Caenorhabditis elegans: one gene and its partner. The protein of the gene in region 1 purifies or fractionates together with the protein of each later gene. This does not show direct contact. Each region holds a gene or a part of one and is shown in the gene's direction. Other genes may lie near its edges.

Region 1 (5,147 bases):
CTAATTGATTTTTAATTGGCATACTATTAGAAATTTGTAAAAATTTTCATTAATTTAAATCTGAACGTTTATCAGCGGCTTTAAACATTTTGAAAATATGCATTAATTTTTTAATAAACGCAAAAAGTTGAAAATATCTGCGTATTTTTTGTTGTAATTCAACATGATGTTCGAAATTCAATACATCTTTTTTTTCTTCTTTCTTATGCTCCTCCTCTCCCACACTATCAAGTTTCGGGGGTCTTCTCTCTCGTTTTTTTTGCAGAACTTGTTCCAAACTCACCTTTTACCATTGCATTTTGTGTTGTCTTTTAACTGAAGTCGGCAGAAAAAAATCCGGTGATCGATTTTGGGAATAGGTGGCGACGATTTTGAAAAGCAGGTATTTAGCGATGAAAATACTCGAAATTAATTTTAACAAATATGATTGATAAACTAAAGATATGAAGCTACTAAATATGGCTCGGTGAGCTGGAAATAGTGGGTGAAGGAGTGGAGAGGCAGAAACAAAGAGAGACGAAAAAGAAGAGGTGCACTACGGCTCCCATGCAAAACTAGCATCTTTTCGTTTTTTTTTTTTGGTTTTCTTGTCGGTTGGTGTAATTGATGTGATGGATTACACTTGAGAAGCCCAAGGAAGGAAGTACCAAAAAAGGGCAAACATTTTTTTACAAGGAATCTTTTTTTTGGTCTATAGTCCCCTTATAAGGACTTTTTAGAGGAGGAGGTGTAGGTTTCTTCCCTAGAAACAGAAAGCAGTCCAACATATTGAATATAACTTTTTAAATAATTTATAGAATTCTCCTGAATTTTTAAAAAAATAACTTTTTCAATTGTTCGAACATAACAAAAATGGACAGGCCGCCAAAGTCCTAGGAGATTGATTGCACAAAGCCGCAAGCTTTTCGTACGAAATAGTGCTCCAGAAATGGTTCCATTCTAGTTATTAAATCAAAACTTTGGTCTATTGTCCTCTCCATATGTTTTTCTCTAATTTGAGTATACAATATACCCTGTTTTGTGTGCATTGAGCCTGTGCATAAGACGAACGATACGAACGGCCCCTCTCCTCCTTACATTCTTATACACAGTCTCAATTCACACAAAACATGTGGTTCAAAGAATATATCCTTATGTAAGTAGCAAACGCAAGCGTAGGAGCACGTATTGATCGATTTATAGACAGTCACAATGCACACAAAACAGATGATTTAGAGGATAGCTGCTACTGGAACGCAAAAATACGATGTGCTTTAAAATAAGAGCTCTCATCAACCCATAACGTCGGCTCTCATTTTTGTTTTTTATAGCTGATTGCACCTTATTAAACAATTTGAAGATGAAAGGCACTACTCGGAAAAGTTTCAAATTGCAATTTCTTCCATTTCTGTGTTTCAAAAAAGTTATGAAAACCTGAATAAACCCCTCTTTTTTGAAAGTCCGCGCATTGTGTTCTCAATGGAGCGCACTACCATTATTTTCGTTTAAGCAAAAATTTTCAAATTTCGAAGGGTTTTCGTCGTGTAAAACGATTTTTTTTTCTGTTTCATGTAGTTTTTAAAACTTTATTTTCCTTTAAAAAAATATTTTTAGCACAATGACAGACTTGTTCGCTTCGGGGGACAATTCTTCCAACTCCTTCGACGACTCTAACGATGAAATCGCGCGCAAAAATGAAACCGCTTTCAAATACACTACAATTTGTGAGTTTAACACTCGATGCGAAAGGAAAACTATTTTAAAAATATATAATTTGCAGTTCACACAAATCTCTCAGAAAAACTGTACCACGAATTATGTGCATTGGCTTTCGGAGAGTTCGATATTCCTCAAGGGCAAATCTCGCCACTTATGTGGACCAGACTTCATGAGGTTTGATTCACTTGAAAAAGGCCTCTGATAAATGTAATATTTTTTCAGATCTATTCAGAAGTAGAAATGCAGACTCGAAAACTTCCTGCAGGATCTAATTATTCCGCCAGTTCACAAAAATACGCGAATGAAGCCGTGCAAATCGCCAGTGTTCTTTCAATTTATACCGCGTTGGCTCATGAATATGATGAGACTGTGGAAGTTTCTTTGCTTAGCAAACTAGTTGTAGAAGATGTGGAGTTTAGAAGGATTTATGTAAGATCTTAGACTTTTTATTCAATTAAACACATAATTTCTAATTTTTTAGGCTCTTCTTCTTTGGAGTGAGAAAGCGATCAGCGAACAGCAATATGAAAAAGGTCTTGGAGACAAAGTTCGGAAACTCGAAGGAATCAAATCTTCTAGAATCAATTCAATGATGGCTTTGAAACGACCAACATTTGGAGCAGCCAATGCTCCAAAAGATGCTTCACTGGATCCAGATGCTCCTGGTACCAAAGAAGATCAAGCTCTCGAGCAAATGGCGATGAACGTTTTCTTCCAATTAATTCGAAGTGGAGAAACTTCCAAAGCTGCGAATTTAGCCATTGATCTAGGAATGGGAGCGATCGGAGCTCAACTTCAGCTTCACTCGATGCTCCGGAACCCACTTGATATTCCACTAGAGGCATCTAAACAGAACTTTGGGGAATATAAAAGATCTCGACGCGCAAAGTACTACCAGATGACACAGAAATTGATAGAACAATCGCAGGGGAGCGAAGATGATGCTTACTGGATGCTGATTTCTGCGATTCGTGGGAATATCCAACCAATGCTAAAAGCTGGAAAGTCAGTGATTGAAAAAGTATGGGCATATGCAAATTCTGCAGTTCTCGCAAGAATTCTTGCCGCCGAGGGAGCCATGACACAGGAAACTATTTCGACGTTGTTCAACGTTCCACTAACTTCAAAATCAATCTTAGATGAGCTGAGATCAGAGGCTGATCGTACCAAAGAAGTATACATCCTACTCCGAGTGATCGATGACATGCTCAATGATGACATTGAAGATCTGTACAAGTTCGCAAATGAAACAGTCGGAGAATTTGTTCCAAATGATAAAAATTGTCAAGTGAACATGCTCGCACTCGACATCTTCTTCCACCTCGTCGCAGTTTCTTATGCGAGTGGTTTCGAACCAAATGACGATGGAAATGCTGTAATTATTCTTGGATTCGATGATCTTCGTGCACGCAGTGGAACCTCATCACACAAGAAAATGGCTGCATTTTATTCAAGATTCCTCCCAGAAGATATGAAGCTTCCAGAGATTGTGGAGACTATGAAAGGTAATTTAAAAACTGATGATGATTTTTAAAAAAATTCTCTTTTCAGCTGTCGATTCTGATGAAGAACGTGAAATCCTGGCTGAGTCGCTGAAACAATCTGACATTGATTTCGGACGCTGTGCGTGCACACTTATTGAGCAAATCAGAAAAGATGACAAAACGAAGGTTGTAACTTTGGAAGAGCAGATTGATCACTGGCATTGGCTTTTGATAGGTGGAGAAGAGACTGCACTGGCTGCTCTTGAAGAATGTAATCGACTAGTTCGTAAAGTGATGCTGTCGACACCGATTGACGAGTCTGTAATTAGGCAAATTATTCGAAAAGCGCTTCATTTCGAAGTTCCTAAGCTATTGTCACAAGCTGTTGAAAATGAAGCAACTGTACTTTCACTGATCACTGATGGAACCCTGTTTGAGCAAAAACCTGGATCGCAGCTGGCAATTAATAAAATCGAACACGCGGCTCTGGAATTTTATGGGCTCTGCTCTTTCGTGGTATGATTTCTTATCCAAATCAGCGGAATCTTTAACCACTGGTTAAAATTACAGTAATCTTTAAAGGTGCAAACCGTCTCGTATTGAACAAAAATTTGTCGTGTCGAGACCCCGTACTCAAAATTTCGCTGCTGAATAATATTCAATTTCATATTGGCCATTTTAAAATCCGAATTTTCAGGATGTGAACAACTTCATGATCACTATTGCTCTGAAACTTGGGCTCATGTTCAAGTACACACCGATCACTGATGATGAGCTTTCCATGATCGGAGGAGTCAAACGACTCGACAACACCACAGCTGCTGACTGGGAAGCTTCACTGAGAGTCCGAGCTCGTGCTGAGCAAACTCTGCGGGAAGAGGTGCTCAAAAAGAGAGCCGCCGAGCATAATACGCGAGTTGGAATGGTTCAACAACATTTAGATGTAGGATTTTTAGAATAAATTGTTGTGAAAAAAATTTTAAAAAATTGAAATTTCAGACTGTTCTTCCGATGCTCCGTGGGCTGGTTAACAATATTGGTGTGCGCCCGGAGTACTTTTTGAGCCCACGTGCTAATGGAGATCCAATGCGTGTACACCGGAAAGAAATTCAGGAGATTCGGAATCTCTTCCTCCCGCAATTCTTCATCCTTCTTGCACAAGCCGCCGTGAGACTCGACGATACCACAAATTTCAACGATTTCTTCACAAGCTTCAATAATGACCTCGGGCTCGATCAGGAATGGATGGTTTTCATCAAAGCTTTCTACGCAGAACTCAATCTCAAAGTCGAATAATTTTTATTTCATTGTTTTTTTGTTTGATACCTGTTTTGATTACCATTTTTTATCACTATATTTCTGACTTCTTTCTCATTTTTTTTAAATTTCCGGTCGATCTTTCACAGACACGATTGTATCCGTGCAGTATTTGAAAATAACAAATTTTTCTGATTTCTGTGGGTTTCACGTGAAGATCTTCTTCAAGAAGAGGTCATCAGATTGCGGAAGATCTATATTACCGATCTGACGCAAGACTACCATGTATATTTGGAAAGGAAAAATTTTCTGTGCAGAGGTTGATGGTTTAAATTTTGATTTAGATATTTTCTTCATTTAATTTGAAAATTTCCATGCCTGAAAATATCCTCAGTGAGGATTCTCACCTACCGTATACTTAAAGGCGCACACCTGTCTCAACCGGAGCGTTGCGAGACCCGCGGCATCAAACTACACACTGTGTTTTGATGATCTTTCGATCGTTCTCGAAAAAAGAAAGAGCAGAGTTCATTAAAACAAATGGCGGCAAAATGTCTATAAAGGCGAGTCGTTCTCTTCATTATCTTTTGATTTTCGATGTGTTCTCCTTATTGTTTTGTTCGTTGACCCCTTATCTGCATTCTCACCGCTACGCAACGTATATTTAACGTCAGCTTTTTCGCAGAAAATTTTTCTATATTCTCATGC
Region 2 (7,500 bases), on another chromosome or scaffold:
ATATGCCGCCGTCAATTGATTGAGCTGAAAATTAGAATTGTGTTGAGAGCATATAAGGAAAAAAGAAAATTAAGACGGAGAATTGTGCAACTGAAAATATTCGAGAGGACCCTATTGTACACGTGGCATATCCATAAATATGTGCCACGAGCTGGGGAGCGAGGTTAAGGTCACGTTAAACATTTTATTAATTCGAATTTATATGGCAGGTTTCATAAAATTAAGTTGTTTTTCTCTTATATCCTAGACTTTTTAATAAGGTAAAAATCGACGAATTTGTAGCTTCCTTTAAAAATTAAAAATGTTATAGTAGATTACAAAAATGGCCAGAGTAGAGCGCATGTATGAATATTCAATGGTGGCGTCCGTGTTTTGTGTAAAATATTCTCATTGTGTACAATATTGTAGGAATACACTCAAAACAAATAGTGTTGCCTCGACATTTGCAATTTGAAAGTGTTACAGCACCCTTTTGATTTTATGAATATAGAAAAAATGTGCGAGAAAAATCAACGAGCGTCCCCGATTTGCCAATAAATCGTGGCAAAAAGGAAGAAAAACGAATAGATACGTGGTATGAGCGGAAGGAAGAGTTCGTTCGTCCTTCCAAAATAAACTGAGCTTTCTCTCTCTTCTACTCGGTTTTTATACCCGCTTTTTACGGGAGTGGATGGGCGGTGTGAAGCCAAGTGACGCGCCGCCGGTGCGTCACATGGCTTTTCCCAGTAACACGTGGTCTAGATACGAGCGGCTGCAGGGAACAAAGAAACATGCCAGGAATTCAATTAAATGCATTTGAAACCGGAATTTTCCGACCAAAAATTGTTTAAATTATTGAAAACGACAGAAATTAAATATTTGAATTTCGCCTAAAACAAAACAAAACATTTTCGTTGCGAGACCCACAACTCCAGAAAATGCGTGCTCCTTTAAACTAATTTCGCTTTTTCAACTGAATTAGCTGAATTTTGTGAATAATCAAAGAAAATAAGGAGGACTCCTTCCCCCGGAGGGTATTTGAGAGAAAAAAACAAAAAGTTAAATACAGTAACTGAAAAAACTCAATAAACGTAGATATTTAACTTACGAAAGAAAAACCTCCTCGCCTTGAATGTAACCTACGCGTGTCTGTGTTCATAAAATCCTGATGTGTATTTATTCATATTATTTTCTATGAGTTTGAAATTGAAATACAAAAATTTGTAAATATTGTATAATATTTACATTTCTGACCAAATCTACTCAATCCTCCTCCCCGTTCACCGCGTGCGCGATGACGTCTTCTCCAAACACTCCAGATGACGTAACATACCACCATTCTGTCATTCAGCAACAGCACATTATTATTTTCAATTGAATTGCCCACTTTTAGATTTATTTCTGTAGATTTTTCGGTTTTCAATTCAGTTTTTGCGAGAAATCGAGAAATGCAATTGCGCCCTGCCGCACTCTCAACGCGCGAAGCCATTAATTTGAAACGAACGCATCTTTTTTCACACTTTTCTGGTGATTTTCTCGAGATTTTTTGCTTATTATCTTTTTGAAATTAATAAAAAATAATTTTAAATCAATATTATAAATTTCAGATGATCATCGAAGACAACTTTCGGCAGGAATTCTACAATAAAATCAAGAAAGGCGATAAAGTGAGTTTAAAGTCATTTTTACTCCATTTTCACGTTATTTCTGCTTCAGAGTGTGGTTCTAATCGTTTCAGTCGACACGGATGCATTATGCACGACGATGATTTTGACGGTAATAATGCAATTTATTTATAAATCAATGATTATTTATTTTCTTTTGAACGGAGTAAAGTCTCCGCGTGAGATCGACAAAAATTATTCCACAAAAGATCCAAAATGGGATGAAATAGACAATATATGGAATTGAAAGTGCAAATGTCAGCCGAATTGCGATGAGAACCTCGAAAACCACTTTGCAAGTGATGCATACTGAAAATCGATTTTTTTTATTCAAAAAATATATTTATTTTCGTACTAACCGAACTGTCCTGTGTAAACATTATTGAATGGATACAAAAAGTTCCAGAAAGCGCGGATTCCGAGGTTTTGCTGTCCATTTGTGCGTAATTCGGAGTAAATGTTGTAAAAGAGCACTCCGAAGCACGCAGCGTCTGTGGCAAAAACTATAAGACAAAGGAAAATGTACTGTTTGTCGCCACTTGAATTATCCTGGAATTATTGTCTCCGGTTTATTGAAAATATTTCAATTTATCTTTCATTTCTGCTCACCAAAAACAGAGCCAAACAAATCGTGGTGGCAAGAAGGTCAAGGAAGACACAGATCGCTTTTTGACCCGATAAAAGTCGCATATTCATAAATGAACTCAATTTTATTCACATAATATTGAGAAAAATAGTCGATGGAGACAATAAGAGGGGGAGGGTGCAGAGAAAGAGAAGCGTACGAGAGAGCGCGGTTGCTGTGAGAGCATTAGATAGAACAATTATTCAAATTTCAGCATCTGCTACGCTGTGATGACATCCCATTCTCGATTCTTGCAGTGGAAGGATGGAGCTCGGTGGAGAAGATTTTTGCAGATTCACAAGAGCAAAGTATGTGAGAGAGTCGAAATATCCCCAATTTTTAATTAAAAAATAATTCCGTCACCGTTACCACACGGAAAAGTGGCAAAATTGGAGTAAAAATACAGTATCCGGTCTCGATACGAAAGATAGTACTGTAATTTTGAGCTCCCGTTTTTGCGCAATTCATATCGATGTGTTAGATTTATGTGATTTTATTTTTTAATATATAGTGTTTTTTTTAAAATAAACACATATTTTTAACGAGAAAACTATGAAAAATCGATAAAATTGCTCATCAACGAAAGTTTGAACCTACAGTACTCTTTAAAGGCGCACACTTTTTCGCAATTAGCAAATATTTGTCTGTCGAGATCCGGCGGAACTCTATACCGCCATATCAATTTCTAAGAAGTTTTATCACAATTTTCGGAATTTCGGAGCAAGATTTCCGCTGTTTCCTTTAATAAATTGATAAAAAAACATTTTTTATTACATTTTTATTACAGAATGTCATTATATCCTAATCAATTGCGGAGCAACACGATCCCTGACACGACTACAAATCCCGCCGGCTTCAATAGCATTTGTCATTGATTCTCATCGACCATTTCACATTGAGAATGTCTATGAAAATGGTCAAATTCATTTATTGGCAAATCCAAGTGAAATGAGCGAATTGCAAATTCCTGATCTTGAATCTGTGATTCGAGAGGATTCTGACGATGAAGAAGATTCAGATGAAGATGAAGATCAAGAGTACATCTCATATGAACAACGAATGGAAAAGATTCGACGGAAAGCGATTAAGAGGGAAGAAATGCAAATATGGGAAAGGCAGAGGAGGACAATTCTCTGGAGATACTACGAATCGACGTGGTTCAGCTCGCCGAGCTGTGTGACTTTACTCGAGATGGCCGCAGAAATGAACAGAGTATCTGCTGAAACTATGTGGTTTACTGCGGTCGGGTTGAATAGTGCGATGGCTGATAAATTGGTAAGTTTTAGGTGTGAAGGCTTTGAGCGAATCAAAAATTTCGGTTTCCTCTGAAAAATATCGAAAAAAAATTTTATGACGAAAGAAAAACATCGATTTTTGGCTCAAAAAATGATGCAATTTATCGGATCGATCTTTAATTTCAGGAAAATACGATGGTACAGTAGTTCTTAAAGGCGCATACTCTTTCAAAATCCAAAAAAATCGTGTAGAGACCAAGTTTTTAGGGCAAAAAATGGTATTTTTGGGTTTTTTCAAAAATAATATAATCCAGACACAAAATTTTGCGATTTTTGCGCCAAAAATACGGCGCCCGAGGTATTGACAACTGCTGAAAGATGTGCGCCTTTAAAGAGTACTGTAGCTTTAAATTCTCGTTGTTGCGAAATTTCATCGTTTTTGACAAATTTTTGAATGAAAAAAAAAATTGAATACATTTTTTATCAAAAAAAACTATAGATAATCGATGAAAATTCCGCGACAACGAAAATTGAAAGCTACAGTAAACTTTAAAGACGCAGACATTTTTATATTCCACACAAAGGTGTTGTTTCGAGACCTATAGCATTTCAAATTGATTAATAATTATGTTAAAACACCCCAAAAATCTACAGATTTTGAACAATTTTCAGTAAAAAAATTGGCAAATTACCAATTATCGCTAAAATTGCACTATTACACAATTTAAAAAGCCATAAAACAGTATTTTATACAACTTTTTTTCAGATCTCAATTGAAATGTACACCCAAATCTGTGTAGATCGAATGCGTCCGTTTGTCCATCGATTTATGCCAAAAAATATAGTGAATCAAGGAAAAGTGGATGATCTCTTGCATATTACATTTGGCCGAGAACTACCACTTGCTCTATATTCACATTGGGATTTGTTCAGTGCAATGATGGTCAGCGAGTATTTCTCGATTAAAACAAAAAATTGGACACAAAAAGGAGATGTGAATATTCGACATTTACTTGCTCAACTTGGAATCACTCTTCACGAAACAAAACAAAAATTCGAAGCTCTTCCAACGGAGCAACGGAATTTGGTGGTTGATGTTCTGGAAAAAGAAATGGATTCATCGTTTGCAACATTTTTTGGAACTCTTGGATATTGTGGGAAGTTGAGTGCATGTGATGTTGCAAGAGCTGTCACTTTACGATTGGAAATGCCGAAAAGTGAAACTGTAAGGGTTTTTTTTTGTAAAAATTTATATTTTTAGCCATTCTCTTCCAATATTTTAAATTAAAATTCAGTGATAAAGTATAGAAAAATATTTAGTTTATCTGAAAATAACTATTAATTTACTTGGAACAACTGAAAAAGTTCTCAATAATTCTCTGATTTTTTCGAGCAATTTTCAACTTTCAGATAACTTTTTGCACTCTTTAAACAATTAAAAGTGCTGAAAAATTATCTGGAAGTTGAGAACTCTCGGAACAAAATCTACCAGCTTTTAGACAATTATTTGAGCATTTCTCCAATTGTTCCAACTGAAATAAAAGGTATTTTCAGATAAATCAAATATTTTTTCTAATATTCTGAAATGCCAAAAAATAAAAATATATTATTCCAGATAATGAATCGTTTCCGATCCGGTCAATCAATCCTCAGATCATCAATAACTGGAGAACGACAAGATCGCCTGAATCTCAACAACACGTTCACTTCGATCTGCCAACGAACGCTTCAAGTGTCGTGGAAAACCGTCGCGGCGGCTATTAATCAATCGGAGATTATTCCAAATGGGCCGTATTATCTATTCTCGTGCTCACGGTCCATTGGTACGGATTTTAGAATCATTTGGAAAAAGTCAAATCGGAGAAAATAAAAACTCGATTTTTAAGCATTTTATTAGCATAATCAGAAGATGAAGTTCGATGGGGTCATGTGTTGTGGCTCGGCTATCACTTGGCTCCGCGAGTAGATCCACCAGTTGATTTTCCAGATGCTTCCTCAGCGACGCGAGCCTCTCTCTGTAATTTATTTTTGATGGGAAAATTAGTTGAAATTTTGAATTCAGAAATCCTCAAAGCGGTTTTTGAAAAAAACTCAAATTCGAATTCCCGCAATTTTTTTGATTAAATTCTGAATTCCCCGAGAAGCTAATGTTTCCAAATAACAAAATGCTTACCTTTGCAACCTTGCAAGCTCTGGCATGAGCCATTCTCTCCACCTGCATCTTCTTCTTCATTCGCTTTGGCATCAATTTCTTTGCGGCAGCCATTGCAGACCTTCTTCACAAGTTTCGATAACTAGAACTAACGAGAACTGATTTTGTTTCAAAAAGTTGAAGGAGAGTGGGAAATAAAAAAATCAGGCTTCACGTTTCTCGCGTCATTTGTTTTGAATTTTTTAAATAATTTCTTTTGAACAGATTAATTTTTCGCGTGTAAAAATCTTTTTGGACATCTGCTCTTTTGGTCTGGGGTCTTGGTTGGGGTTTTCAGAGAAAATCAGAAATTTTGAAAATTAATAAAACATTAAATTTTTAAATCAAATTTTGTTGATGTTGATGGGAAAAAATTGAAAACTAGTGAGAAAATTTAGTACTTTTATAGTCTAAAAAATATATTTCCAGACGAGGATATGGTCGACTCACGTCATTTTCTCTACAACACCGCCGGATTCATGATTCGCGCCTTTGCCTCAATGAAGAAAGGACGTACAACAAAGCCGCTAATCGCAATGTTCCCATTGACTGGAGAGAGTGCTGGATGGCTTGTAGTCACTGGAGTTATGCCGATTGCCACAATTTATGAGGATTCACTACTTAAAACGTAATATTCGGCCTGTAATTTTAACTTTAAAATTGATTATTTTCAGGTGTATTGGTCGTGCTTTCGAACGAGTAAAGAAAATGACTCCACCACTTCGTATCGTTGATGACTACTTTAATTCTGATATTATTCGCTTGAAATCTGAAGATCGTACTCGTTTTATTGATTTTCTGCAGACTGTCTTTGAGGGCACATCCAACTGATCTCTTACAGGCGTTTCTACCTATTGCACCATCTTGTTCCAATGCTTTTAATGAAAAAAAAAGTCTTAAAATATAGAGCATTACTTAATTTATCGGAAAATAGCTGAAAATGGCTTGGAAACTGCCATTTTTAGGCGATTTTCCTGCGTTTTCTGTGATAAATCAAGTGATTTTCTATATTTTGACACTAATTTTTAATGAAAAACATGGTGCATTAGGCTATTTTGTAGAATTGCCTCCTACTGTTATAATGTTCAATCTTTCTCATACACGGGCACACTGACTTTCCGAGTTTAATTTTTATTATCAATTTCTGAAATTATTTCCCCTATTTACTTCTCCACTTCTCATTTCATTGTCACATATTCACTTTATTTTGATCAGTTTTCACGTGAACATATTGTAATTTTTTTTCTGATGATGATTTTTTTCTGATGATTGATTAAATCAACTTCCAACTTCTTCAAACTAATTTATTTTATATTTTATCTAGTCTCAAATTTACGCACTTATCATTTTTCTACTCGAAAATGTCTACGCATAAGGTATGTTCGAGTTGGCCGATTTTCCTGATTAATTGAGGATTTTCTAGCAATCATATTTTGTGAGTTCAACACCGAATGGTCTTGATGGAGCTCAATATCTTGCTGTAAATCGTGATGGAAGTGTTCTTTATGGTCTTAAAGTTCGCATCGTATTGAGCATAGTTGAAGCTCCGGAACAAGCTCCAGAAGTCATCACTACAGCAACTGAAAAGTCTATCTGCAAATACCACGTGGCATCCGGAAACACAAAAACGTTCCAACTTGACGACGATATTGATCCGCTTCTTCTCGCTCGAATTATTGAATTTTATATGATTTCGGATAATATTGTCGCGCTGATTTCTTACGATTCAGAGCATTTTCAAGTTATACAGACACTTATTCATCTGGAACATTCGAAAGAATGGGCTCAGACGATTGTCGTGAGAAG

The links. The genes of interacting proteins can lie anywhere in the genome.
Region 2: the proteins of npp-5 (region 1) and evl-18 fractionate together in Caenorhabditis elegans (co-fractionation; one large-scale study listed by BioGRID). This does not show direct contact.

The regions. Positions count from the first base shown.
Region 1 is NC_003280.10:11,596,256-11,601,402, reverse strand, and holds npp-5 (Nuclear pore complex protein 5), read left to right. Parts: upstream 1-1,593; 5' UTR 1,594-1,597; coding exon 1,598-1,703; intron 1,704-1,759; coding exon 1,760-1,872; intron 1,873-1,920; coding exon 1,921-2,127; intron 2,128-2,179; coding exon 2,180-3,203; intron 3,204-3,249; coding exon 3,250-3,698; intron 3,699-3,879; coding exon 3,880-4,125; intron 4,126-4,181; coding exon 4,182-4,478; 3' UTR 4,479-4,636; downstream 4,637-5,147. UniProt on the Caenorhabditis elegans protein: Involved in kinetochore assembly and chromosome segregation during embryonic mitosis.
Region 2 is NC_003281.10:3,729,126-3,736,625, reverse strand, and holds evl-18 (Cell division control protein 45 homolog), read left to right. Parts: upstream 1-1,586; coding exon 1,587-1,646; intron 1,647-1,695; coding exon 1,696-1,755; intron 1,756-1,774; exon of another isoform or gene 1,775-1,779; coding exon of another isoform or gene 1,780-1,952; intron 1,953-2,002; coding exon of another isoform or gene 2,003-2,192; intron 2,193-2,252; coding exon of another isoform or gene 2,253-2,333; exon of another isoform or gene 2,334-2,371; intron 2,372-2,482; coding exon 2,483-2,576; intron 2,577-3,055; coding exon 3,056-3,543; intron 3,544-4,269; coding exon 4,270-4,728; intron 4,729-5,118; coding exon 5,119-5,326; intron 5,327-5,377; exon of another isoform or gene 5,378-5,449; coding exon of another isoform or gene 5,450-5,518; intron 5,519-5,676; coding exon of another isoform or gene 5,677-5,769; exon of another isoform or gene 5,770-5,851; intron 5,852-6,123; coding exon 6,124-6,322; intron 6,323-6,368; coding exon 6,369-6,525; 3' UTR 6,526-6,986; downstream 6,987-7,500. Other genes in the region: F34D10.4 (C2H2-type domain-containing protein), read right to left, coding at 1-2; F34D10.3 (Serpentine Receptor, class E (Epsilon)), read right to left, coding at 1,780-1,952, 2,003-2,192, 2,253-2,333; F34D10.8 (uncharacterized protein), read right to left, coding at 5,450-5,518, 5,677-5,769; F34D10.9 (CPSF_A domain-containing protein), read left to right, coding at 7,056-7,070, 7,118-7,500.